Drosophila melanogaster: one gene and its partners. Changing the gene in region 3 together with the main gene of any one other region gives a genetic interaction. Each region holds a gene or a part of one and is shown on either strand. Other genes may lie near its edges. The genes, in order: vap, htl, sty and mop.

Region 1 (7,643 bases), on a different chromosome or scaffold from region 3:
ACTGTTGTTTCCTTTGAAGAATATATGTATTTATATTAAATTCAGCTGACTATTGACTTTTCCATGCCCATTGCAACGCCTTTAAGTGCGAAGAAATTCGAAAAAAAAACATTTTTCAGCTGCAAGAAACCGAAAGGGAGCCATTCAAAAACACAGTGTATGTTTTCAGAGGAAGTCTTTTGCACTCTTTTTGAATTCTTTAATTTATTTCGATTTTATGCGTTATTTCAAAAAAAAATGTATTGACTTTTGGATAAATGCCGTGCATTTGGACGCCAACTGCCATTTGACGTTGGTAATGCACTAATAAATTTTAAACAATATCGAAAGCAAAACCATTTTGAATATCTGAGTTTGCGGCTATACGGAGTAATCCGTGTAAGCTAGTGTATTATAGGTTATTTTTAATTTGTAATAATAATAATAAATAAATGCATACCGGTCTGTTAAATATTATTTCATTTCCATATAAATAATTTTATAAATGAGATGCTGTTTACTATTCCAATACAATTCAACCAGTTATTTTGAGTTCTTATTTTATGTATTCTAATAGTATACACATATAAATATTTTTATAAAAAGGTATGAAGGGACTTGTAGATAAGAAGACATCGCTTTTTTTTATTATCCGCTCTCCTCGCAATTGATTTTAGCTGATCATCTCGCGATACTTCAGCTTGTGTTTGGTCAGCATGTCCGTCACTGTGACCAGCTTCTTAATTGAAAGTATGTTGGATAGCTCGTGCAGTTCTTGCGAATGAGATACGCAGATGTGATGCAAGGTAGCCAGCTCGCGTCCTGCAGGAATTATAAAAGAAATCATTGTATATTTAATAATATAACAGCGCCAAATAGAAAACATGAGCTGACAAATAATTACCAGTGTCTTGTGAATTCAGATTTGTACTTTGTTCGACAAACATTCCAAGCGGTTGGTTCGGATCGTTCACCGAGGACAGTTGATCCAAGAAAACAATCATACGCTCCTTGTTCTTCAAGATAAACGGATTGACAACCTCCATGTATTGTTCCTAAAAATGAAAAAGAAATCGAATTTATTTTGGTAATCACATAACTGAGTCGAATCGATACGCACCTTGCCGCCGAATTCAATCAAGTTGGCCAGATTCTGCAGACACTTGGCGACCATGACCAAAGATCGTGTTGCTGCCATCGGTGGCGTCTCGCTGACCAATCCAAATTGGCGTGGATTGAGCAGCGCTGGGCACAGAAGGCGCAAGAATATAAAGCCAGAGACGACGCGTGTGCGAACGAGCCGCTCTGTCGGCCATTTGGCCATCACAGCCTTCTGAAGACAGCTGCAAATGAAACGCACGTTGCGTGGACAGGCGTCCGGTGAAGTGAATATCGACTGGGTGACCAGATCGAGGATTTGCAATAGAAACTCGGCATTCGTACAGGCATCATCGTTGACGTCCATTTTCGTGGGATTCAATTCAGCCGACTGCTTGCTCTCCAAAATGCGCTGCACGGTTTCGCTGACGGCCGATTGCAGGAAGCCGCTGCATTCGGTGCGCATATATAGATCCATTAGGGTGGTGGCCAAGGATGCGCCACGGAAAAGCGTTGTGGTTTCGTTTTCGCGCGTCACCTCCGCTTGGCACAGCATTCGAATTAGTTCCGTTTCCCGTTTCTCCTGCCTAAAGACTCGCAACAGAGCCGTGGCCAAAGGAACCCGATCATTATGGCACAATTCAGCCAGCGCCTTCACAGCATACAGCTCCGATTCGAGGAGCAATTGCTGCAGAGGACTGTACTCTTCACACGGCATTATCAGATCGTCGAGGTAGCGCATACGCAATCGTAGCGAGCCCCATTCACCCATCGGCGTCATGCCAGTGAGTTGGTACCAGCCCTCGGTTTCCTGGCCATTCTTTAGACTAGACAAGTCAATGGTTAGCTCAGCCACTTCGGAGTCCTTACCGCGTTTGCCGCGCGATATTAATGTTATGGTTAGGGAGACAACATCTGGCGGAACATCGCTGCAAGCAAGCAAGTTACAAACATATATTATTCGATAAGTTATCAAATAGGCGAAGGAATGGTAGACTTACTCTAGCACAAACTCCTCTTCCCAAACGGGTTCGGGTGCAATTTTGACACGAGTTTTGCCCACTTTGACTTGATTGAGGGAAATACTGCAGTATGGATGTGGCACTAGTTTAAATGGTAATCGATGAGCTTCCAGCACATGCAGATTAAGACAACGAAGCTCACGAAGGCGTGATACCTTCTTCTGGGCACGACTCAGCTGGGAATCGCATTGTGCCTTGAGCGAATTAATCCACTCCACGTAGCTTTCCTGACTAGGAGCACACAGATACGTCACTGTGGCCAAGCATGGCAGGGCCCTTTCGACAATTTGGAAGCAATAGGGACGCTCCCACAGCGAATCGTGACATTGATAGAGGTAAGCACAGGACAAATCGATCAGACCCTTCGGTTTGGTCTTCTTCGGATTGTCGTAGAAGCATAGTTGCGTCTCGGAACCATCGTTGATTAAAGCGAAATAGAGTTGCTTCCATTTCGTCGTTTTGTCCGACTTCTTGTTCAAATGGCCGTGATGTTTGATTCCCTTGATCTTTTTGAGACCGATTTGGTCACGACACTCGCGCAATGTTGCGTAGATCTTTTCAGCGGCCTTTTCCACAACATATTGCTGATTGAACTCGGGCTGAATGCCATTGACAACTGGATGGTTCAGTGAGTGGCCCTCCACAATTTGCTCTTTGCGATATCGATTTATAACCGCATCCAAGCATTCGAATGTACGACCGCCCATTAAATAGCGCACGCCTTTCTTTTCAATACGAAAGCGTTGGATTTGATTGTTTATATGAAAGAATAGAGAGTAATCCCCCGGTGAGTTGTCACTTGGGCGAACGAGGAAACTTCCTGGTCCAGCTGTTAGGATGAAAAAATGTGTTTCAATTACATACATATAGCAACAGAGAAAAGTCGAAAATATCGATTGTAGGCGTCACTAGAAGAAGCTCAAAATTCTAAGGATTCATCTCGTGAATCTCGGGAAAGCTTGCTTTCCTTACTTGTAGGTACCTTAAACTAATAATACACACCTTTAACCAACATATCGACGGCTTCGTTTTTGGTGCAGTTGGGATGGAACCAGGGAAACACCGTATTTGGATCGATAGATACATCCAGATCGTCAACAAGTTCTCTGAATATCATTCCCTGCTCGCCCGTACGATGGGCAGTCACCCACAACCAGCCATCGCCCATGTCATTGTGTACAAAAAAGATATCACCTTTCTGGAAACTCAGTTCATCGGTCTCTGGCATTTTTGTGTAAGGCAGGATGGCTACGACGCGTTTCTTATCATTAACTGGCTCCGGCGGAGCAACTGGTATGGCCAAGCGTTCGCGTTTCAGTAGATCACTACATGAGGTATAGTAACCAACCAAGTCGCTTAAGGAAATGAATTGTCGTCCTCCGATATAGAAGTCTCCGCACACAGCTGTAATCCTATGTTAACGATACAACATACATATATAAAAAATCATTCAAAACAATGGCATTTAATGGGTATCTTAACCTATTACTTACCGAAAATGATTTATGCCGGTGCGGCCATAATAACTCAGAACATAGGAGCCAGGTTTGCGGTCACTTTCGCGAACTGCTCAGCATTAAAAAAAGAACACAAAGGTATTTATTTAGTAATACTTTCTCACCTTCGAATACCATCTTATACACACCTAAATAGCTGCCCAGTTTACTGCTTCCGCGTAGGCGAGACTCTGCAGAGTAGCGATCGAGTCGTCCATGGTACCATTCGCTTTCCGGAGGAGCAATAATCGCTGGACGTTCACCTGCGTTTGGAGTTTGCAAGGAAAATTAGTTATCGATCGAACTACAATGTATGGGCATGTAACTTTACTTACCATTCAGCATATGTGGTCCATCGAATTCATCGTGATCCAATTCCTGAGCCAAGTCACCCAAGTCGATGCCGCCAGGTGCCATTATGCCACCCAATCCGGTCATGCCACCCAGCCCCGCAAGATTCCCATCATCCGAACAGCCCGTTGGCGATCCGGGCTTATCTTTCTGGATGACAACATCAATGTTTCCCAAATGTATTAGGTCCGCCATTGTTAGGCTTATGATCTCTGTTCAGCAAATGCGAGTCTTAGTCTATATTTAACTTCGAGTGGAATTCGATTTAATAAAAGCCACATATAGCAATGATAAGAATGCGTTTAACTGAGGAGATACGTTAACTTTTGTGACTGTGTGGGGTTTTCCGTGCTAAACTGTAAGAAGACCAGATAAAAACACTTAGCTGCCTTACTTTGATTACAATACGAAAATCATATTTGATAAAAATCAGAAATCAGATTAGAGAGTCACTAATAGAATCAAATGCTTAACTAAACCAAGATATGTCTAAAACCATTCACTAAAAACGCCCCGAGAGATTTGTTAGTTCTAGTTTCCGCTTTCTAATGCTATTAAATATAGATAATGGAAAATAATTCGGAATTCGGGGCTTACCGTGAAATCATTTTCTTTGCCATATCGGTGGTGGTAATCTCACAAAAACAAATTGGAATAGATTCGCTATAAGTGTCCAAAACAAAATTCGGGTCCAATGTTACGAAAGTTGAGGATCTAACAAATAATTTAACAACGTATGCAAAATTGTGGGGCAAGAATACATCACACCTACACTAAATACGATTAAACCTAAGCCTATTGGTAAAACAAGAAATTTACTAATAGGCGCTATTACAACCGATTACAACCAGCACCAGAAACCGGGTTTATTAATTAGAATATAGAGACAATGCTACTTTATATCCAAAACCATATTTAAAAGCAATTAACGACGTAGACTTCGCAGTAAACTAAATGAAAGATAAGATGGACAGCACATCCATCAGCTGTTTGCGCTTTGTTTACTTTTACAGATAACAAATCAATTGTGATTGTTTCAGTCAGTAATATAGGAGTGTAGTGAACCCACAGCTTAGACAACAAAAAACCATACAACTTTAAGATCTTTAAGTTGTTTCTTCTATAAAGATTTTCATCTTAGAATCTGTATATTGATTCTATACGTTTTCAATGTGTATGGATAAGGAAAATTGTCTATTCCATTTCTTTGATATTTTAAACGGTTTTTCATCGAATTATTAAATAAACATTTACCTCTGGACGAATTAAGCTGTGAGCCACTGTACATATGTACATATTGCTCTTTGAAATCGCCGGGCGACTGACTTTCTTACATATGCGCAGACATTTTTAGGATATTTCGAGTTGTATGAAAGTACAAGTTACTTATGAATTGTAACACCGTATATATACTTTATGTACATTGGTATATATATAGGAATATGCTGCACCCTCTTGTACATCAACATCTATCTAAAACACAAGCGATTTATATGAGCCGCACACCACACACAAACTTTAGGCTAAGCCCTTTTTGCCAAACGAGCCGAACACAAAAAAATTCATTCGGTTCTTTTCTTCATACATACACGACCCGAAGAGTCATCATATCATCATCATCATCAACACCATCTCATCATCATCAACATCGTCATCACCGTCGCCGTCTTTATCATACTCCTCTCAAGCGGGGTAATTACTGCCCATTTGATTCACAATTTCTGGGCTGTGTTCGGTTTGTGATTCCTTTGTAAATGAATCATTAGCACAACCATTTAATTCTCTCTCATATGGGTAACAAAAAATACAAAAAAAAAAAAAATAAAACCATTTACACAGAACATTAATCGGTTAATGCGCATGTGTAAATATTTTCCTCTATATACTTTACATTGCACTGCAGCACCGAGCTAAAAAAACAAATCGCGCTGCTGGGAATTGCCGTCTTTTATTTGCTCAACTTGTGTTATTCATAACAATTGCATATTTAAAACGAACTAAAATTTCTTCCGTACCGATAGCCACAGAATTCAATTGTGCGCAGTGTGAACGTAGTGAATCATCGAAATATACCACACACCCAACTTATCGGACGAATGTATGTGCGTCAAGATAGCGCCAGAGAGTACAGCTCGAATAAGAAATCGATTATAAACGATAAGCCAATTTAAGATATAATATTTTAAAGAAAAAACAAACGCAAATAATATTTATTCAGCATTTGAATGTACATTTCTTAAATGAAAAGCTAATATGTGTTGAAATTACAAAAGATGATTTAAACACTTTGAAAATAACACATGTTTTTTGTGCGCACGAAAACCGTTAGCCGTCAAAATCTGAAATGGGGTAAAATTAAGTTTATATATTTTCATATTTTCAAGCTTATTTAGACAGCAGGCGGCAGCCCGAATCTTTGTCATTCGAATACTATTATATGGACACAATACTCTGAACTGAACAGTTCGACATCAGTGGGATTTAGAAGGCATAATCATGTCCAAGCGCCAACGCGATGTTCACGATGGCGCTGGAAAGAAAATAGCCAAGATTCGGTTTAAGAAGCTCATCCGATCCGTGATACTGAATATGCAGTGGCTAAGTGAGCTGCCCGAGGAGGGTGGAATATCGCTGAATGTGAAGAAGAACGTTGCCATGCTGCGACAGAAGCGCAAAGTGGGCATGATGACCATGGCCGTAAGTCCAACGAACCTCTTCTTTCATATCAAGGCTAGCTCAAGAGTTTATTCCTTTTTGTGTTTGCTTAATTGCAGGAGAAATCGCTGCTGCGCACTCCACATGCTAAGCGTTCCGTCGATGAGAGGAAAAAGCTCTGCACCATTGTGGCAAATCTGGCTTGCTTTTCAAAATTTCCGCCAGTGAGTAGCGCGCTGATCATTTGTACATATGTATAATATTACTTATCCGACCTGTTACCCCTTTTAGAAAGTCCGCGCCCGTCTTGTTCCGATTGTCAAATTCATGGCAATATCTCCCGGGCGTATTGTTATGAAGGAGGAGGATTTTCCCGTAACCATTTATTTTATAATCGCCGGTGAGGTGGAAATGTCTAAGAACATATATAAAAAGGTAAACTATTCAAATTATATATAATACTTTCTAATATGCTTTGCATAGTTATAGCTACAATTTTTCAATTATGCCTTATTAAATATATATGCTTTTTTATTTGAAAAATGGTATATTTCTTAGGGCTCCAGTCGTCCTACCGTACAAACGGAGGCCATTTTTGGACCCGGGGATTGCATTGGTGATATTGACGTGATGGAAGATACACCCAGAACCAACACTTATATCGCCACAAGTAAATCGATTCGTTTGTTTCTTGACACCTAATCGCATTTGATTCTTTCAGCTTATTGCGAACTCCTGGCTATATTCAATACGAACTATAAAATTGTTCTTCTACCGTTTATGCAAAAGATGTGGCAGGAAAAGAAGGATGCTCTGCGGGCCCTTGACTATTTTGACTTTCTCAACGAAGAACAGGTAAGTATAATAGTAGATAAAAAGAAATTATAATATAACTTGTTTGTAAGATTGTAAATGCCAGTAAGTATGGAACAATTCAGCAATTCGAGCCCTTGGAGACGATCTACACCGAAGACTTGGGTACCATGAGCTATGTCTATTTTGTCCTTAGCGGGGAATGCGTGGTGCTACAATGCCTTCACAT
Region 2 (5,031 bases), on a different chromosome or scaffold from region 3:
CAATGTTTTGCAGGCCTAACTTATTTGAGCCCATATGATACAATAAATACATTCAACTCAATTTCTTAATCTTAATCTACTAATCCCAAAATTTAATTGATTTCCCAAGTCACCTAGCAAAAGTTAATATATTGCTCTTCCTTATTTTCATTGACAGCTTCAATAGCCCATCTGTTTATCTATTGCAACTGAATAAGTCTAGCAGTTAACTTATTTTTTGGTTGTTTAATCCGCTGGTCGAAAGCGTTTCTCATTGGCATATTTCGCATATAATTGGCTATAAAAATTCATGTTAATGTGCAATTAATCATATTAGCAATTAACTTTATGCTGTTTGGCTGCTCTGCACGAGATCTCGACGAGCTGCGATCTGCGAGATGGCTGCAGATCGTGTCGCCCAACTCGAAGATCGTGTCTCCAAAAGCCTGTTACCGTTCCCGATTTTTCATTTCCCATTCGCAGATTCCCAGAGCCAAATGGCCAAAGGCTCGACCAACCAGACTTTGAGCCAATTTCCCAATATTTATTTCTATGCTCGAAACGCTAACAACTTGCGTTTCGTTCTGGCCAAATTGAAAAGCCATACGGAAGCTGAAGCTGCGATCGGCAGCCTCGAGGAGAAGCACTTTTGGGTAGCCAAGAGGAGCCCGGTTTGGAGCCAGGTTGGAGCCAGGAGGCTTGCCCAGGAGTGCATAAAATTTAAGTATTATGACCATACACACTGATCGGTGGCCGTCTTTAACCCGTGCTTTCCCCGGTCTCTCTGCGGCTTTACGAGGTTGTTAACTGTTGAAACTATGCTAACCACTCATGGGGATCCTCCCTCCCAATTCCGCCGTGGAGCATCAATTAATCAGTCAGGCGTAACGCCATTTGGCACTGAACGGGTCCCGTCGGCCACAATTGATGGTCAATAATCGTTAATTGTTTTCGATTTTCGGCCAAAATCCCCCCTGCGTCATTGTCCATTGTTTGGCTAACCCTTTTCGTTATTTTTGGTGTCTCCATAGAGACAAACGCTAAACGATGCCATTGTCTTTGGCGCACAGCGTGTGTGCTTTGATGGCCTTTTCACCACGAGTGTCATTCATTAGAGGGGCTTTCTTCCATCGCCACTTGGCTACTGGTTCTTATGTGTCTGTTGGCCATTTGACATTGGCTATAAGTAGCTCATAATTAATAACTGCTAACTTACTTAGCGAGCTATTGTGTTGGCTAATGAATCTCATTCCGCATTTTCCGCCTCAAACGAAGCGCAAAGAAATGCGCAAAGAATTTGTCAGTAGAATCTTAGGCCCTCATAGGCCATAAATCTTTTTAAAAAATAATAATAATTAAATTCAAGTGACTGATCTATTCTGACTAAGATAAGTTAGCTATTCTTTTTAATAAAGCATGATCCATCAAACCAATTATAACTACATAAATAATTGATCTGAATATAAGGAATCTTTTTGACAACTACCCATCTTCTTTGCACCCTCATAATGAAATTCATGAATTTCCTCGCTGCGCTCGAAACTATGCAACATATTGTGCGTTAGAATATCTTTGAGATATTCCATTCGACTCAATTGAACGAATTTTAGAACGAGTGCGGTCTGTGCACTCAATTACATTTCACTTTCCAAGGGAAGGCCGCCACTCAGCTACACACTTGTGTGTGTGTGTGTGTGGGTCCCCCATATATAGGGTATAGGGGCCCCTATACCATATAGTACCATACATACATATACCGCATACCCAACCCCTCGCTTTTTCGACCCTTCCTCTCTTTGGCTGCGGATTATACAATGTGTGGCTGGCGTTCCGTTCAATTTTGTGTGTTTTCTGTATTTGTTTACGCGCCTGCCGCAAAAATACATTGCAGAGATGTGTTCTCCAGCATGTTGAAGTTGATGGGGGAAATGTGAATTCGTTTCATTTGTTCCCTCATTTAATTGAAGAGATTTATTTCGCAGAGCTGGCTCGGTTCTGTTCGGTTCGCTTGCTTTTTTTTGACTCAGTTGCGATCGGACTGCGTGCCGTTACAGTAGGCGAAATCGGAGGAAAATCGTTGGAAAATCGGTTGGAAAATCGTTGGAAAATCGGTGAAAAATCGTCGAAAATTAGAGCGAACGATCGATCGATTGAACGCGTAATAACGCCATATAATATAATTATACTAATAATTATTAGTAATGCCTCTTGGTGAAAACGCACACATTTTGTGGATGGAAAGAAACAAAACAGAGTCAAGTGTGCAACGGTTTCTGGTTCTGTTTAAGTGCCTAAGTGCCATATAAATGCGTACTAAAACATTTCTGGAATTTTAAGTGGAAACATTCTCGAATTCTGTGAACTTTCCCAATTGTGTTTTTAGTGAAAGACTTACAATTTAGACGAAGGCAAGGAGAAATTCCAACGCAGAGACACTTTGGTGGATATTTGGCAAGAAGCTTTTTGGCATTTTTTTTTTTTTGTTCGTGGAGCAACGCACTTTGTGAGGTAAGTCTTTAAAAATACACACCGTGCATCGTTTAATTTAGTTTATTTTGTTTTTGGTTTTTTTTGCGTAGTTGCGCAAATCATTTGTTTGATCCACTTTTTGATTGACCGCGCACAGCAATTTGACTTTTTAACCCAAAGGCCAAAAAGTGTAAAATGTGCAGTGGTTCGGTTCCAAAGCAATTTGTGTCGTTTATCCCGCTGTGTGTGTGTGTAGTCAATCGTTCAATTATCTATTCTCTGGCTACCCCATAATAATACAGTGAATATGGACAGTTGTGGGCTCCCCATAGTATCTGTTTTTTTTATTTTTTATTTATTCCATTCGGTTCTGCTATGGTACATGCTCAAATTGAAAGCACTTTTCCACAGGGTTCCCATTCTAATTTATATTTATTTATTTGCTTTTACAAGCCAACCGATGCCCCAGAGCTCGGGAAAATATTTCAAACTCATAATTCTGTTATATTCCAACGCTCCCTTAGAATGGGATTTTGTTTATTAACCAACAGCATATAGCATATATCGTATCATCTAGAGTCTAGATTCTAGAATGTAGACGGTATAGGAACATGCAATATTTTCTAGCCGCGTAAACAAACATTTCAACTTGTCTGCTCTTTGTCCGACTTGCTCTATATCTGAGTGAGTATATAGCTAAAGATATAGCTATCTGTGTGTATATATATGTATATATATATATTTATCGGGTATCTGTTTTGTCGGTCGGTTAGCTTTACGATGCCATCTTCTAGGTGATTCGGCTTCTGTTTTGTTGCCTTTGGCAATCACTCAATTTGCTGGCCGACAACCGAAGACGCTTCTTACTTTTCGCCTCCCTTCTCTGCAATTTATTTATGAATGATAATTAAGGTTAGGTTTGTTTAGCTAATTGTGCGGCCAGTTCCCGGTATTGTTCCCATATCATCTCAGGTGGGATCCACGCAGACTTTCGGTATGATCCTTTGATCTTTATGATGTTAAAGTACAAATGTCACGAGAATATATGCTTGCTATATAATATTAAATGTTTTCATGAGAGTTTATCATAAAATCAGTGTTTACCAAATAAAGATTTCGATTTAGAAATAGATTTATGTCAACAATAAAGTAATAATGTTATTTTTTGGTATTATAATATATTATAGCTTAAGCTTATCAATGCTACAGCACTTTTATAATGGATTTTGTTGTCTAAATGTTTGTGAGTACTAATAAAATTTTAAAGCTCTAAATGGCAAATTTACAAATATATAAGTAAAGCTTGCAACAATTTAAGAATAGCACATATTTATTTCAACTAAATCTGTTGAACGTTCTTTATATAAATCGCTGCGTGCTTTATATTTCTGAAATGTAAATCGAATCAATAGTTCACTACTCATATACTTTGTGATAATTTAACGTAGCTTCGCGTTTTTGATAAAGTCGACTTGCCACAATCGACCTTTCGCTCCATCTGCTTCTTTTCGTTTACCCCATGGGATGCAACCTTCTCGCCGTCACGTACTGAATGGTATATACTAGATGAACGGGTGGGGATGGATGGATGGATGGATGGCTGGATGGGATTGGCATTGGGTGGCTGATGGCTGGTGGAACCTGCCGACGAACCGTGCGAAATAACAGACTCGTGCCGGTCTCGACTTGGTATCGGATACACTGAGCGGCAGCGGGGCAACCGCCAAGTGCGTCAATTGCGGGTCAACCCGTGCGATTGAAATGGATGCGCCAAGTGACCGGCGATTTCAATTCGATGGGAAATGTACATATACCGTGCAATGTTTGTATACTTTGCAAATACTTTCCGGAACGTGTTTGTTTATAAATCGGGCGATTTTGGACGGCACAGGAAATACATACATATACTAAAATTGCGCGCTCATTATCGATGGAGGTGAAGGTCGGAGGGTGGAGATAGAATACCAAACATATATACAATTTTTGGCAGTTTCCGATTTGGCGGATGCCTTCCTGGAAGTCAACATTTCGGATAACCCCATCATTTAGACGCTGGAGTCGCTACTTCCCCTCGAGAATCGACGACAATGTCTGTGCAACACATGTGGCACGATCTTAGGTAGACATACGTATATGTACATTCGTGTATGTTCGATGCTGATGATGTGCCCACATGTTGCAGTCAACAATAGAGCAACAAATGCAAGCCGAAACAATATTTGCCCTTGTCTCTGCTCTGACTCTGACTGTGGGCGTGGCGACGGGGGCGGGAGAACAGAGACAACTGAACACAGTAGTCTTCTCCGCCGGCCGTTATTTTTGTTGCTTTTAATTTCTTTAATTTTTTTTTGTCCGCCAGATGTGGGCTGAATGTTGAATGCGGACTGGAAAGATCAGACCCAGAACGCGGAGAGAAACTGTGTCTGTTTTAATTAAAGATGAGAGTAATACCCAGTGCAAACTGAGAGATACCGCCGATACTGAGATACAAAGCCAGACGGGGCTGGCATGTGTGGAAAATTAAGGCTGCCGTTGAAAGCGAAAAGATGCGGGACGCTAAAGGCAACGACCATCCAAACAGAA
Region 3 (4,730 bases):
CTCGAAACCGAATTCCGAATTCCGTCGGAACCCCCACATGAAAAACTATCTAAAAAATTGTGTTTATTTTTTATGTCTTCTCTCTATCAATATTTTAGCTAAACAAATTTGTGACAAACGCAAAATGACGATGGCAACGCCAACTCGCTTCCGTTGCGATCGATAAAGTGAAAAAATGGTATAAAGGCATTAAGAAAAATACTTTTACCAAATTAACATGAAAATACTTTGTATTTTGTTTAGAAAATATAAAATATTAACCTAAGGTTCAAAAAATTGTGAAACACATAAATATAATGTGAAAAAATATTTTTTGTGTCTACAAAAAACAATTGGATTGGTGCAGTGTGTAATTAGAAACTATATTATAAATAGATAATTAATTAATATTTTTTCTAATCAAGCAATAATTCTACTAAATCTATTATTTCTACCGGTGCAAAATGCGAAAGAAAAGAGGGGCCGAGTTAAGATCCGAGAAAAGCCCACAACTGAAATTGGAACGCATAGCTCATATTTTGGATTTGAGTAGTTGGGGCCACGAAGGCGGGGGAGTTGCCCATGCCCACATGGCCTGCCTATTCATAATTATATTGGAGGAGCCCCAGCCCCCGGAACCACCTTAAATGGAGCTCCACATGTATATGCGTATGCAGCGTGAGCCAAAAACTGGACACTCCGGCGGAAGCCATTTATGGCAAAAAAAAAACTTAATATAAATAAGATAAAAAAAAAACATTGGCACACCCGGGTCCAAAAATGCGAGAGGCACAGGGCCCAGAGGATCGGTTCGAATCGGATCGATATCGATGGCATAGTCCGTGGAATGCCAATGCAAAGCAGAAGGTGAAGGACTGAGGATTTGGGAGGCTGGAGGAGTCAACGGCGCAGACCAGTAGCCACATCCGCTGTCAAGTCTTTTGGGAAATTAACGCAGTTATTCACGCAATTATGTTACGCGACCGACCCAAAGAAAAGGTCTCCTCCGACAGGGCCAGCCCAACCCAGAGCCAAAAAAAAAAAAAAAAATTAAAATAAGAAACCCAGGAGAACTCACTCGCAGGGAATTGGAATTCCTGCGACGATCAGCATGAAATGTGCGCATTAGTCTTGGTCAACGCCAGTCCCAAAGACAGAGCTAATTGAACGGTACAGATTCAGCGAAACCTTAACCCTCTGGGTATCCTAGGGGTTTTAGGAAAACTCCCAGATGCTTTGGTTTTACCCAAAGTCATATAGAAACAGACCAAGACCTTGCATTTAAATGTACTTCTTATGACTTCTTTAATCATTAAAGGACTTTCCAATTTGCAATTCTTTGCTATGATTTAAACAATGATTATTGCCTACATTTATATCAGAATTTAATTATACATAATATCCCCATTTATATATTCAAATGTAAAACTACATTATGTTTGCAAAATGGGTTAAGTTTTTAAAATTCTTGCTGAGCCTCAGCCTCCATGTGAGCTGGCATAAAAGGCCAAAGTGTGTCTCAGCTTTCAGCCTTCAGTCCGATCTTGATTTCGCGTCATTATGATTCGCATACAGATTATACAAATTTCGAAAAAAGATATATATTCGGAGGGTAGGGACTGGTTGGTCTTCATGTTTATGAGACATCTGCAGACAAACGCAGCGGGTAGCCGGCGAACGAAAACACGATCTCCATCCTCATCAGCCAAACCAATTTCATTTCGAGATTCGTTCAGCTGTCGGTATTTGTGGGCTACTGTTTCGAATTTTTCAAAGTCGCCAAATAATTTTAATGATCTGGCACAGCGAACAAAGTACTAAATTAACTTAAGAGCCTTCTTCCAGCCACTTCGCCCCACTCATCCTCGCCGATTCCGCCTTTCCCCCCATTTGGGGCAGTGAAAATGATTTATGGCATTCCAGAATGCCTAAGCTCTAAGGCTCAGGCATAAGATTTGATTTTTAGGTAGGGAAAAAGGGTACAGATGACAAATTTATAAAATTAAGACCTATCATACTATCGATTAAATGTTATTCCATTACTCAAAGCTCAAAGATATTGTAGGGAAATTGTTCATCATTGTTTGACTAAAAGAAACAATGTCACGAATTTATTTTTATCGAGTTGATCTTGTTTTTTTAAAATATTGGCTAGGATAGACTTTTCAACTTTTCCAGAAATTTAATTCCCAATTTCTACAAACTATACAACCGCGTATTTACTCAGATATTTAAGATTCAAATGGATGAACATTTTATAATACATTTATAATATCCTTGACAAATCTTCGATAAGATCTCTTGCATAAAAATCACTGGCATATAAATGACTTTTAATGCCTTTCCAACTGATGAGCACTGGTCACTTAACCTTTGGGTGACTTTTAGCTCTCAAGAGAAGAACAAAAAGTCAAGATCCAAAGTTCCAATTGACAATATGAATGACTTGAGACATTTAAGTGTTCTTCGACTGCGAAGGTTCATATATTGATAGAGATGGACAAGGGACAATGAAGCTACTCACCGGTGAAGGGAAGTTGCTTGATGGATGGGTTCTGGTTGAAAGTTTTCCTCGGCTTGGTCGACTCGATTGCAGATAATGCGGATAATTTGATTAGAGATTTTTTTTGGCTCGGTACAGCTCGCCTTTGTTCGTTCTGGTTTTTGGGGTTGATTGAGTTGTTTTGTTTTTCTGGTGGCAACTGTACTCAACGAGATGCCTTGGTTAATTGATTAATAGCACGATTAATTTGTAATAAAGTTAAAGAGGCTTACGCTATGTATGATTATGTTTTTTTTTTCAATGGGATAGTTTACTATTTAAAATTGTTAATTATTTAAAAACACGCGCACTTTTACTTGGATTCACTTAAATTACGCATACGCCGTGTGCGCATCTATTAATCGCTAATTGCGTTGTGTCTTTGAACATACAACTGTATATATATCGGGTATATATATTTGGTAAATAATTTTGCAAGCACAAGTTCTCGGAGATTGCACGTTGAATGCAGCCTGACTATCGTCCAGTGACTGAGCCAATGTTGCACGACTTTTGCATCGGAGCTGCAGCCTCACCCGAAGATTGCCGATAGGATCTCGTCCTGGAGGGGAATACCCATTCGTTGGGCCGAAGGTCCCAAAATCCGAAACACGAAACGACATTGCGTGGGCTTCGTGCGACATTCGTATTGTTTTCCGATTTCGGCTATTGCTGCAGGACTAATCCTGGCTCCTGGCTGCTGGTTGCTCCTGTTCCCAGCTCCTGGCTCCCAGTTCCCTCCATTTGCATGGCCATCCAGCCCCCTCCAATTGCCTACCAACCCACCAGCCACCCGCCACCCAACATCCTGGCCTCGGTGGCCCGGCCAATGAGCACTCGGCTTTCAAGGTCGTCCGTTTGACGGCCATTTTGAATGCATCGCCACTTTCAATGGGCGCCCACTCACACACGCCTGCATTTCCTGGCCCAATGAGCTGGGCTCTGGCCCACTCAGTTGCCTTGGCAACGACCTTCGGTAGGCGTCGCCTCGACATTGGCCATGGCAGTGAATTTCCACTTGGGGGTTGTTGCAATTACCCCCAAGGTCATCCGTTGTCCATCAGCTGTTCGGCCAGGGTTGCCCTGCCTCCTTAAGGCGGGCTTATTTGAAAATTAGCCAGCACCCTGTGCACCGCTCCCAAATTAAAATCGAACAGCACACTCAAAGCTCATTTCGTTTACTGCCCCATAAATTAATCAGTGAAAATAATAAAGATTTCAATATTATTTCCAACGACATCCGGTCGAATGCGGCACCAAATTTGGCGGAAAGCAGCCACTTCGCCGAGCTCCACATATGGGCGGTACGCATCACAATAACTCTACATATATATTTGTATACGTATATATTGTATATGTATAAGGAACATCAGAATAAAGAACAATAAAAAGCTAAAGTCTAACAAGAAAGCTGAGTGAGCTAAATTGGATTCAAAAACGAATGTGGATTACTTTCTTGAGCGCTAGGAAAATGTTATTTTAGGATGAGTAAGTTGAGTAAGATACTTTTTGAATAGCATTAAATAATAATATATTTTAAATACTTCCCAAGAACATAAAGAAACAAAATAACCTTTTAAGATAAGGGTATCCCCGAAAGAATTTCATTTGCTTTGCTGCGGAGTTGGACAACTGGACATCTGCCATTGTTTGGACCCTAAATTGAAATGCCAACCGAAATGTGAATCATTCGATCAGATCAAACTCGACAACAAAAAGTGGTCTGCCATTCAATTATATATACGTATGTATATTGGCCGAAACATTTTTGGGCAAACAAATTCGAATAAATGAGTGTGAATGCGAACGGACAGAATAAAAATAAATGAAATTTCATTGAACGAAAATGCTCAATGAGAAATCCGTATGAAAGTTGGCCAAGTTGATGTCTGGGTGTTTGGCTCTGATGGCTTTTCGTGCATTCAATCCGCAATGAATACGCCACCCCAGTCCAACAGTTTTCCCGCCTGACGTCACAAGTGTCCTAGATAATCGCCGCAGTGGCAGAGGTAACACATTGGCCTCGAGGTGAATGTCTAAACATGAACTCGAGGGCAATTTCAGACAGCCAAAAGAATAAAAATAAAAATCACACTCACAGCACAAGTGGCAGCGAGACGCACGTGCAAAATATTTATTTGGAAATCAGCGATTGGCGTGGTCGCTGTTTTTCTCTAAGCAGATCCGTTCCCAATACCACTTCCGTCCG
Region 4 (7,963 bases), about 11 Mb from region 3:
TTAAGCAGTTCATAATGAGCGGCGATTGCGGAGCATTGGCTGCCTTGCAGCGTTGTCGATGGGTCTCCAAAGCATTTTCCGCCACACCCAGAAGTTGAGCTGGAGCCCTGTAAAATAGCAATTATTTATTTCTTTCCATCGGACGAAATCTGGACATGTTACCCCTTGGTCCACTGTTTCAGCTGCAGTAGAGATAAATCCAGCACTGCGTCCGCTCCATGCATGGACAATTTAAGTTGATACTCGGAGCAGTGGCTAAGTTGCTGCACTTTTAAGCAGGTCACGGTGTAATCATCATAATGAGTCGGCTGGTCCAAAGCTTGCGGCCAGTAGGGATCGAAAAGCTATAGAACATATCAAATATTTAGATTCAATAATCTCATAGTTTTGCTGAAGTTACTCACTTCATTTGGGGTGTGCAGGCAAACCACAGTGCGCGACTTCTCCGACCAGATCATGGACCAGAAATCGTTGATGGTATTTGGCTGGGGAGTCTGAGCGACAATAAAGTTGGGACAGCCGGCACTCAAGTTCTAAATGAATAACAACGGCGTTTAAAGATTGTGTGCTATAAAAACATTTTCTGGAATAACTCACCTTCATGTAGGCGGCATTGATGTAGTCATCGGTCTGCTTGTCCAGCTTTACTCTGGCATGATCGTATGGCAGACAATCAAGGGATCGATTTTTCTCCGGGAACAATTTCGCAATGGTGGTGGATCGCTTGTTGGCAGCGGCTTCTTTATCCAACTTTTGCTGCAGCTCTTGCCATTTGGCGCCCAGTTGTGTTTTTCCATTCAACATTTTCACGTGCAAATTCTCTAGTAATTTTTCATAGCTCTCCACCTCCTTTTGGAAATATTTTGTCGTTTTTTCGTCCGTAAAAGTTTCGGATTGGAATGCAAAACTGCTCGAATGGCCATTGGCTGTGGCAGATGCCTTGGTCTGTTTCTCACTGACGGAATGTGTAACGGATACCGAGTCCCAGTCAAAGTTCTCCAGGGAACTTAGGTCGGAACAGTTGGATAGGTTATCTAAACTGGCACACTTCGGACCCGAAGGAATGGTAACTGGAGTTTGAGCAGTTCCCTCGGTGGCTGCTACAGGAATTTCCGCTGTTGCGGGAGCAGCGTGCTCTGCCACACTTTCTACCTTAACAGGCACCGATACCTGACTTGCCGGCGGCGTAGGAGTGGCCACCACCTGGGGCTGCAAAACAGGCTGCGGCAACATTGGCGGCGGAACAGCAACGGAGCAGTCAATGTCCAGGTCGCTAAGCAGATCCACATTGCTGGTAACCTTGGGAGGCAATGCCTCCGGCTTTGGTTCTACTTTGGTCAAAGCCGCGGAGGAGGCGTAAGGAACTCCGCTGGAAGTCGTCTGGGTTTCAGCAGTGCTGCTCGCTCCACTTTGCATATAAATTGAAGCAGTTGAATTCGAAGGAGGCGCAGGAGTGGGTTGTTGCTGCGGATTTACACTGCCAAGGTATCCATAGGGAGTGGAGTAGTAGTTGGATGACTCATTGCCCTCTATCGCAGAAGTGGAGTCCTTAGCTGCCATATTAACCTTGGTGTGGGACACGATAGGTGACTGTTGGATAAAAATTTCGTTATTTTAGGTCTCAATACCTTTAATATATATGGGCATAGCACTTACATCGAATCCAGTGGCGGTATTGCTGCGACTGGCAATCTCTGAGTCCGTTGTTCCCACCGACTGCTGCTTGCCACTCTGGCTAAACTGGTAGCTTTGCGAGGCTTGGGATCCCTTCAACGAACTGGTATCCTGCTGATAGCCACTGCTGTACTCGTATTTACCTGTCTGCGGATTAAAGCTATAGCCAGGATGGTTGGAATAGCTGGTGTAGGTGGCCGAAGGATGCGGAGATGTGGGAACCTGAGCTTGAGATGAAGTGGGGGCTGGAGTCGGTACTGGAACAGGACTTGGTACAGAAGAAACCCCAGGAGCTGGAGCTGGAGCTGCATTGGGATCAGTGTACTGCTGTGGATATGGCAAAGGTTGCCCAGCATTCGGAGGTGTTGCCTGCTGGCCAGGAATAGGTTGTGGCGACGCCTGGACAGCCTGCGATGGATAAAGTGATGGCTGTTGCGGAGCAAGTGACTGCTGTTGTTGTTGTTGTGGATAACCAGATGGTTGCTGCTGATATGCCAGTGGTTGTTGAGGCGTCTGGGACTGGGAATACCCGGTGGTCTGCTGCTGCGATGTCTGCGATTGTGGATATCCTGTAGCCTGTTGCTGGGACTGAGCATACCCAGCTAGATGTTGTTGAGGTGTCTGTGGATATCCAGTCTGTTGCTGCTGTGCTTGTCCAGTCGATTGCTGATTTTGGGCATAGCTGGGCGCTTGGAGCTGCGGTGCTTGCGACTGTGAATATCCAGTTTGTTGCTGAGGCGTCAGCTGTTGGGCATAGCCTGATAATGGCTGCTGTTGATAAGCTCCCACCTGTTGCTGCGGTGTCTGAGATTGTGGATATCCACCAGCTTGCTGCTGTGGCCCCTGACTTGGCGCATAACCCAAGGGCTGTTGAGCTGATTGTCCTGTTGAAGAGCCCGATGGTGCTGTAGGATAAGTCACCTGTTGAGCTTGAGCATTGACCTGTTGGTAAGCCTGCCCTGAATAACCTGCCGCTGTTTGGTAGGGATTGGACATTGGATTGACCACGAAGGGTGCCTGCAGGGTGGACGGCAGCTCACTGGGATTTGAAACCGAAACTGGATTGCCCGATGTAGCCACATACAGAGGCTGCTGGATATTCAATCCCTGGGAAGCTGAGCTTGCGGGCACTGTTCCGGGTGGAGCGTAAGCTAGAGGAGGAACAGACCCACTTGGATACCCGTAATTATAAGCCATGCCTGCTTGGTTGTTATCCTGCGACTGGCCCTGCAAATTCATCTGACCGAGCGCTCCGTGGAGGGTCTGAGAGTTTGGCGATGCTTGGGCCTTGTAGGCCGGTGGAGCAATGTGCTGCTGTTGCTGCTGATACATGGGATTCGTGTAGCCGGCGGCACTGGGATCAAAATACTGCTGCTGTGTGAGACTATAGGGTGGAGGTGGCTCATTCGGTGGTGCAGTGGCATAGGAACAAGCGGCCTGCGTGGGATTCTCCGAGCCCACCGGCACTGGACGCACTGTAGGCACATAGGCGGGATTCGAGGCATCCGCCATCGCTGCCTTGGCCTTGAGGTAATCCCTTAATTTGGGGGTGCTGCTCACCGCTGGCACAGGCGTAGTTTCCGCTATTGGTTTGCTGACAACTGGAGTTGTTGCGGCCTTAACGCTCTGCATCCTTTGCTGGCGCTCTTCGGACTGTACATCCCTGGCGGATCGAAATCTGGTAAGTAGCTTCTGTACATTTCCGGCTAGTTTCTTGTAGAATTCCAAGCCCTTGGCGGATTTGGCCAGCAGATCCTCATAAACATCATAGGATGCAGCTAGCGAGCTGTAAAAGTGCTCCCGTTTCTGCTTCACGTCCTGGAGCGTTTTCAAAACTGGTGCCGCCTTGGCATAGTTTTCAGTTAGAGCTTGCAGAATATTACCTTGAGCCACCATATTCTGATCGAGAAGTTCGGTGATCTTGTCGTGCTTGCCCAGCTCGGTTGCAAATAAAGCTTGGAGGCCCTCCTGTCCACCGTGGGCAATTACTTTGCCAGTGATATCATCCTCATTGATGGCTATCCTCAAATCCGCATGAAACTGAGCACGTTGCGCCTTCATTTCGTTGACTTTGTTGAGGATGAGCTTCACATCCCTGAAAATTTCGGTGGTATTCAGTTCCGAACTTAGTTTGGGCATCAGTTGCTGAATCTCAGGCAATGGTCTGGCCAGGATCTTTAGATTATTTACGTGCAGGCTCATGGCTTTCCGCAAGGTATTATTGGATTCCCCTGCCCGTGCATGGGCTTCACTGTATTTCTGGAACTCTCGCGATAACTCGGTAATGTGGGCATTTGGTGTTCGTTGAACGCCGGTGGCGGATTGGAACTCTCGCTCCGCTTTGGCTTCTGCCTCCAGCATGCTTGAAATCTCGCCCAGGTTGGTCTCCACATCGGCTGTAATCTCAGCCAGCTGAGACATGGCCTCTACAAGATCGCTGATAGCAGTCTTGTTTGCATTTAAGGCGGCACAGCGATCCACGATGCCCTGGGGCAACTTATTGGCTTGCTCCTCGTTGATATTCAGATTATCCAGGGTGAGGGAGCTCATGTACGACTCCAGTTGGGTGTCCTTCTCCTCCAGCAGAGCTCCGTACTTACGCAAAAGTTTGGCTTTCTCTTCGCTGTACAACGAGCTGGCTTCGTGGGCCTTCATGGGCACTAATCTGGCAAAGATGTCTGGACCCGCGTGCTCCTCGTCGCTTACTTGAAAGCCAATCCCATTGACCAAATTGGCACCTTGGACGGCTGCAATGGTGGACAATTCGGGCACCGCCTCATGGTAAATGAACTCATTTTCGTTTTTGGCATTTTTGCGCTTTGCTTCCACCACATCAGCGGTGAAGCTGAGGGATTCATTGATTTCCCGCTGGTCAGGAAGGCCCTTGGACTCTTTGCGCGCCTCCTCCAGTTTGTCCCAGGAAGCCTGAAAGGAATATAAAGTAAGCATTTAAACCTTTCCTTTAAATAGAGCTCAAAATGTTATAGTTACCTGGTAGAGCGTCACCCTTTCGCCCATCTGACGCTTCTCCTCGGAATGTTGGCCCTGGTATAGGTACAATATGCAGGTGAGATAGTTGATCTTGAAGCGAACGTACTTCTTCCACAGTTTGTACACAGAACTATCGATGACTTGAGCCACTGGACCATCATCTCCTCCCGTAAGAAGAGCAGCCAGTGCAGCTCCATAGTAAACCACAATCTGCGCCGTCACTTTGGCCACAATATGCGGTTTCCTATTGTCGATTAGCGACTTCTCGAGTATGCATTCCTGAGCTTGGGCAAAGCACACCTGTTGCTGAAAGACCAGCAGCTCTGGGGTCATAAAATCCCCTCCGCCATTGACATTGGCATAGCGTTCTCTCAGCTCTCCATAGGCCCAAGCAGCCGCCTGGAAGTGAGTGCAGGCCATCTTCATTCCATCCACATCGCCACGGGTCACCGACGCTCCGGACTGAGTGTGCAATGCGGCAATGTTGAACAGCACCGCAGCCCGTTCGAATCGCAGATCAGTGACCTCGTGAACGGCACTGTGATAGAGATCCTTCCATTTAAAGGTGAAGATTCCGCGATCCGCCAGCTGTGGAAATCGATTCTGAAGGGCGTGTAGCTGGCAATAGTAGCGTTTCATCACCGGCGCTCCATCTTTCGTGGTGTGCATGGCCTGGTTGCGCAAAGTCTCCAGGGCATGGACCTCTTTGGAGTAAGCCTCTGGATCTTCATGATAAAATTCCGCGATGTACTGGAAGTAAAACGTGAAATGTTTTAAGTTGGATTTTTGTTATGGAGTTTAGTGTAGGAAAACAAGAATATATTTTAGGGTAAATGGGTTTTCATGGGGAATTAAGTGCAATAACCCAACAAACTGCCAGTGTTTGCTTATAACTTTTTATTTGTTTGCCAATTTAATCAGATGACGACGATGACTCAGCCGCCAGACAAAGGGGGCTTAAAAGTTGGTGAAAACGGAAAATGCAATGGAGCAAATGGCATGGTGAGAATGGGAATTTCGATTCCAATATGAATCCAATAAGCAACGCATTTTCCCAATTTGACCGATAATTCCGTTTCACCAAGTTGTCTCCTCTTTGTTTTGCTGGCTCTCTTAATTATTTCACTCCCCCTTTCGCACTCTCTTCCTTTTACCTTTTTCAAAGCCGCAAAGGAGGTTCCCTCGGGACTCGATTTTAGGGCGAACCAGAGCATATGCAAACGGGGCACCGCCTCCATGGTGATTAGTTTACTTGTTGCCTGCCCAGTTGGCCTTTTATTTTACACACAATTTAAACTAATTGCTGGCAATTAATTTACCAATATCAAAACAAGATTGTTTTATGAAAAATGTTGCAGTGTGGCCGTTTCAGCTTTCTGGAAATATGCACTAAAAATGGCAGGTGCGTAGGGGGTATTCCATTCATTGGCATCGATACTTTTTAGAACGGTATTCTTTTCCAGAAGTATTAAATTTTTATGCCGATTAAATTTTATAAAGAAAATGAAATTTAAAAAATTTGATATTACGAATGCGAATGTCTAACAATTTATATAAATTGTTATAGATGGATGAAAGAAGTGCACTGCATATATATCACTGTGAACGACAGTTTACATAGTGACGAAGCGCACCATATTTTTGTTTGTTTTTTTTTTTCCTTCCTTGAATTCCCCATTAATCACAATTAGTTATTTTATTAATAGTAAATGCGCAACCAGACATTCTGTAAATATTTGTTGTTTATTTTTTTTATTGTTTATACATTATCAACTTAGGCTAAACACAGATGGGGATTTGGATGTAATACAAGTCGTGTGAGGGTGACTAATAACAAGAATGCAATTATTAGCTAATTGCCGCTTACAAACTGACGATGATACAATGGCAGCATACGGCTAAGTTAAGTTAGGTACATACGTTGGTCGTACTAAGACTAATTTAGACTAATGGAAACGCTACTAGGCTTTTCGCTTTGCTACGAGCCGCTTTGGAGATGTTTCGATACAGTTCCTAAGAGGATTGCCCCCTCCCCATTACTAATTACCCCTCAATTTCTATATACATGTCGCTGCTGTGCGTGGAGGCCGTGGAGCTAAAAGTCTGATCAACCTCGGGATCACTTAGCACACTAGCATCCGACTCGGTCTCCAGGTCCAGGCGGGAGAATTGTGGCGCTGATGTTTTACTATCCTCCACATTTGGTGTATGCGCATCGATGAAGAAGTCTGTGGAGCATGAGAAAGTAAGACAGAGTTTAGTTTAACCATTCATAAGAGCGAACTATATAAAATGAAATTTTGTTATGGGAATATACGGGGGAGTGATTGCAAATTTAGATCATTTACCTGCGCCAACGATTTAAAATTTGGACTTAATGCTTGAGTGGGTGAAGGGTTATGGAGGTGCATTTATAGTCGTTTAGTTTGTAAGTGCTTTAAAAGGCTACGTCGTGTAGTTCAGGAGTCGTGGGCATTACTTGTACTGCAAAAAATGTTTGGTGTTGATTCAAATGATACGATTTCTCTACGTAATGATGTGATTTTTGAATTGAAAGTGCGGTCGTTTCACAAATACCAACCTGATTCGACGCCATTCCATTCGCTGACCACCGTATTGTGGCTGTGCTGGTGGGGATTGGGGTGATCTTCGACAGAGCCTTCGTAGATCTGCAGATCGGTGGCCAGCTTGTCGTGCTCCGTTATTTCGTCAAAGTCAAAGATCTCGGTTACTTTCACCTTGTTCGTGTTGCTGTCAGTATAGTAATAGGCATATAGAGCGTCGTTGTGCGTGGTCATCTTGAGGACATGCTCAAAGTTGTCGACATCGTCCTCTAGCGGTGTGGCTCCACTGAAAACCAAAAGAACGGCACGATTAGTTAAACGCTTCCTTGGAGGATTAATCCTACTGCTTAACTTACCATTCATCCACAAGGATTGAAACACGGGGTCCATATAAGCGGCTGGAATGAAGAAGTCCTGTGGCATCGAAGTGAGGCTGGTCATAGAGCTGCAATAAAAACACATTCGTTAGTATAATTCATTTCATATTCAAATTCATTGCCAGCCGTCAATTCTAAATAAAACAAATTTATGAAAATGTGAGCGACAGCCTTAATGCACTTCAATTGATTACTTAAGCAAATGATCACAAGACAGGTACCTAATTAACTTACCGTGAATTTATTTAGCAGTCGTATCCGCATGGCGTGGTTCAACTGCAAAATTAAGTCCTCCACCATTACTCTGGCCTGCTTGGTAAGTTTGGGCGTCAGTGCTGATATTCTAAATATAGATCA

What was found.
Region 1: of sty (region 3) and vap, changing one enhances a phenotype caused by changing the other (phenotypic enhancement), as found in Drosophila melanogaster (one study listed by BioGRID).
Region 2: of sty (region 3) and htl, changing one suppresses a phenotype caused by changing the other (phenotypic suppression), as found in Drosophila melanogaster (one study listed by BioGRID).
Region 4: of sty (region 3) and mop, changing one suppresses a phenotype caused by changing the other (phenotypic suppression), as found in Drosophila melanogaster (one study listed by BioGRID).

What each region holds. Positions count from the first base shown.
Region 1 is NC_004354.4:15,999,785-16,007,427, forward strand, and holds vap (vacuolar peduncle), read right to left. Parts: upstream 6,029-7,643; 5' UTR 5,201-6,028; intron 4,661-5,200; exon of another isoform or gene 4,544-4,660; intron 4,303-4,543; 5' UTR 4,142-4,302; coding exon 3,931-4,141; intron 3,859-3,930; coding exon 3,745-3,858; intron 3,666-3,744; coding exon 3,593-3,665; intron 3,512-3,592; coding exon 3,102-3,511; intron 2,929-3,101; coding exon 2,079-2,928; intron 2,007-2,078; coding exon 1,100-2,006; intron 1,035-1,099; coding exon 884-1,034; intron 802-883; coding exon 653-801; 3' UTR 167-652; downstream 1-166. Other genes in the region: CG12698 (uncharacterized protein), read left to right, coding at 6,443-6,643, 6,721-6,825, 6,893-7,036, 7,160-7,271, 7,323-7,456, 7,507-7,643.
Region 2 is NT_033777.3:18,049,958-18,054,988, reverse strand, and holds the start of htl (heartless), read left to right. Parts: upstream 1-2,004; 5' UTR 2,005-2,487; intron 2,488-5,031. UniProt on the Drosophila melanogaster protein: May be required for patterning of muscle precursor cells. May be essential for generation of mesodermal and endodermal layers, invaginations of various types of cells and CNS formation.
Region 3 is NT_037436.4:3,421,922-3,426,651, forward strand, and holds the start of sty (sprouty), read right to left. Parts: upstream 3,015-4,730; 5' UTR 2,504-3,014; intron 1-2,503. UniProt on the Drosophila melanogaster protein: Inhibitor of tracheal branching that restricts branch budding by antagonizing the BNL-FGF pathway (BNL: branchless, an fgf inducer of branching).
Region 4 is NT_037436.4:14,770,093-14,778,055, forward strand, and holds the start of mop (myopic), read right to left. Parts: upstream 6,038-7,963; 5' UTR 5,904-6,037; coding exon 5,820-5,903; intron 5,416-5,819; coding exon 4,666-5,415; intron 4,600-4,665; coding exon 1,657-4,599; intron 1,591-1,656; coding exon 598-1,590; intron 534-597; coding exon 405-533; intron 345-404; coding exon 163-344; intron 108-162; coding exon 1-107. Other genes in the region: bmm (brummer), read right to left, coding at 6,709-6,893, 7,247-7,515, 7,586-7,674, 7,841-7,949.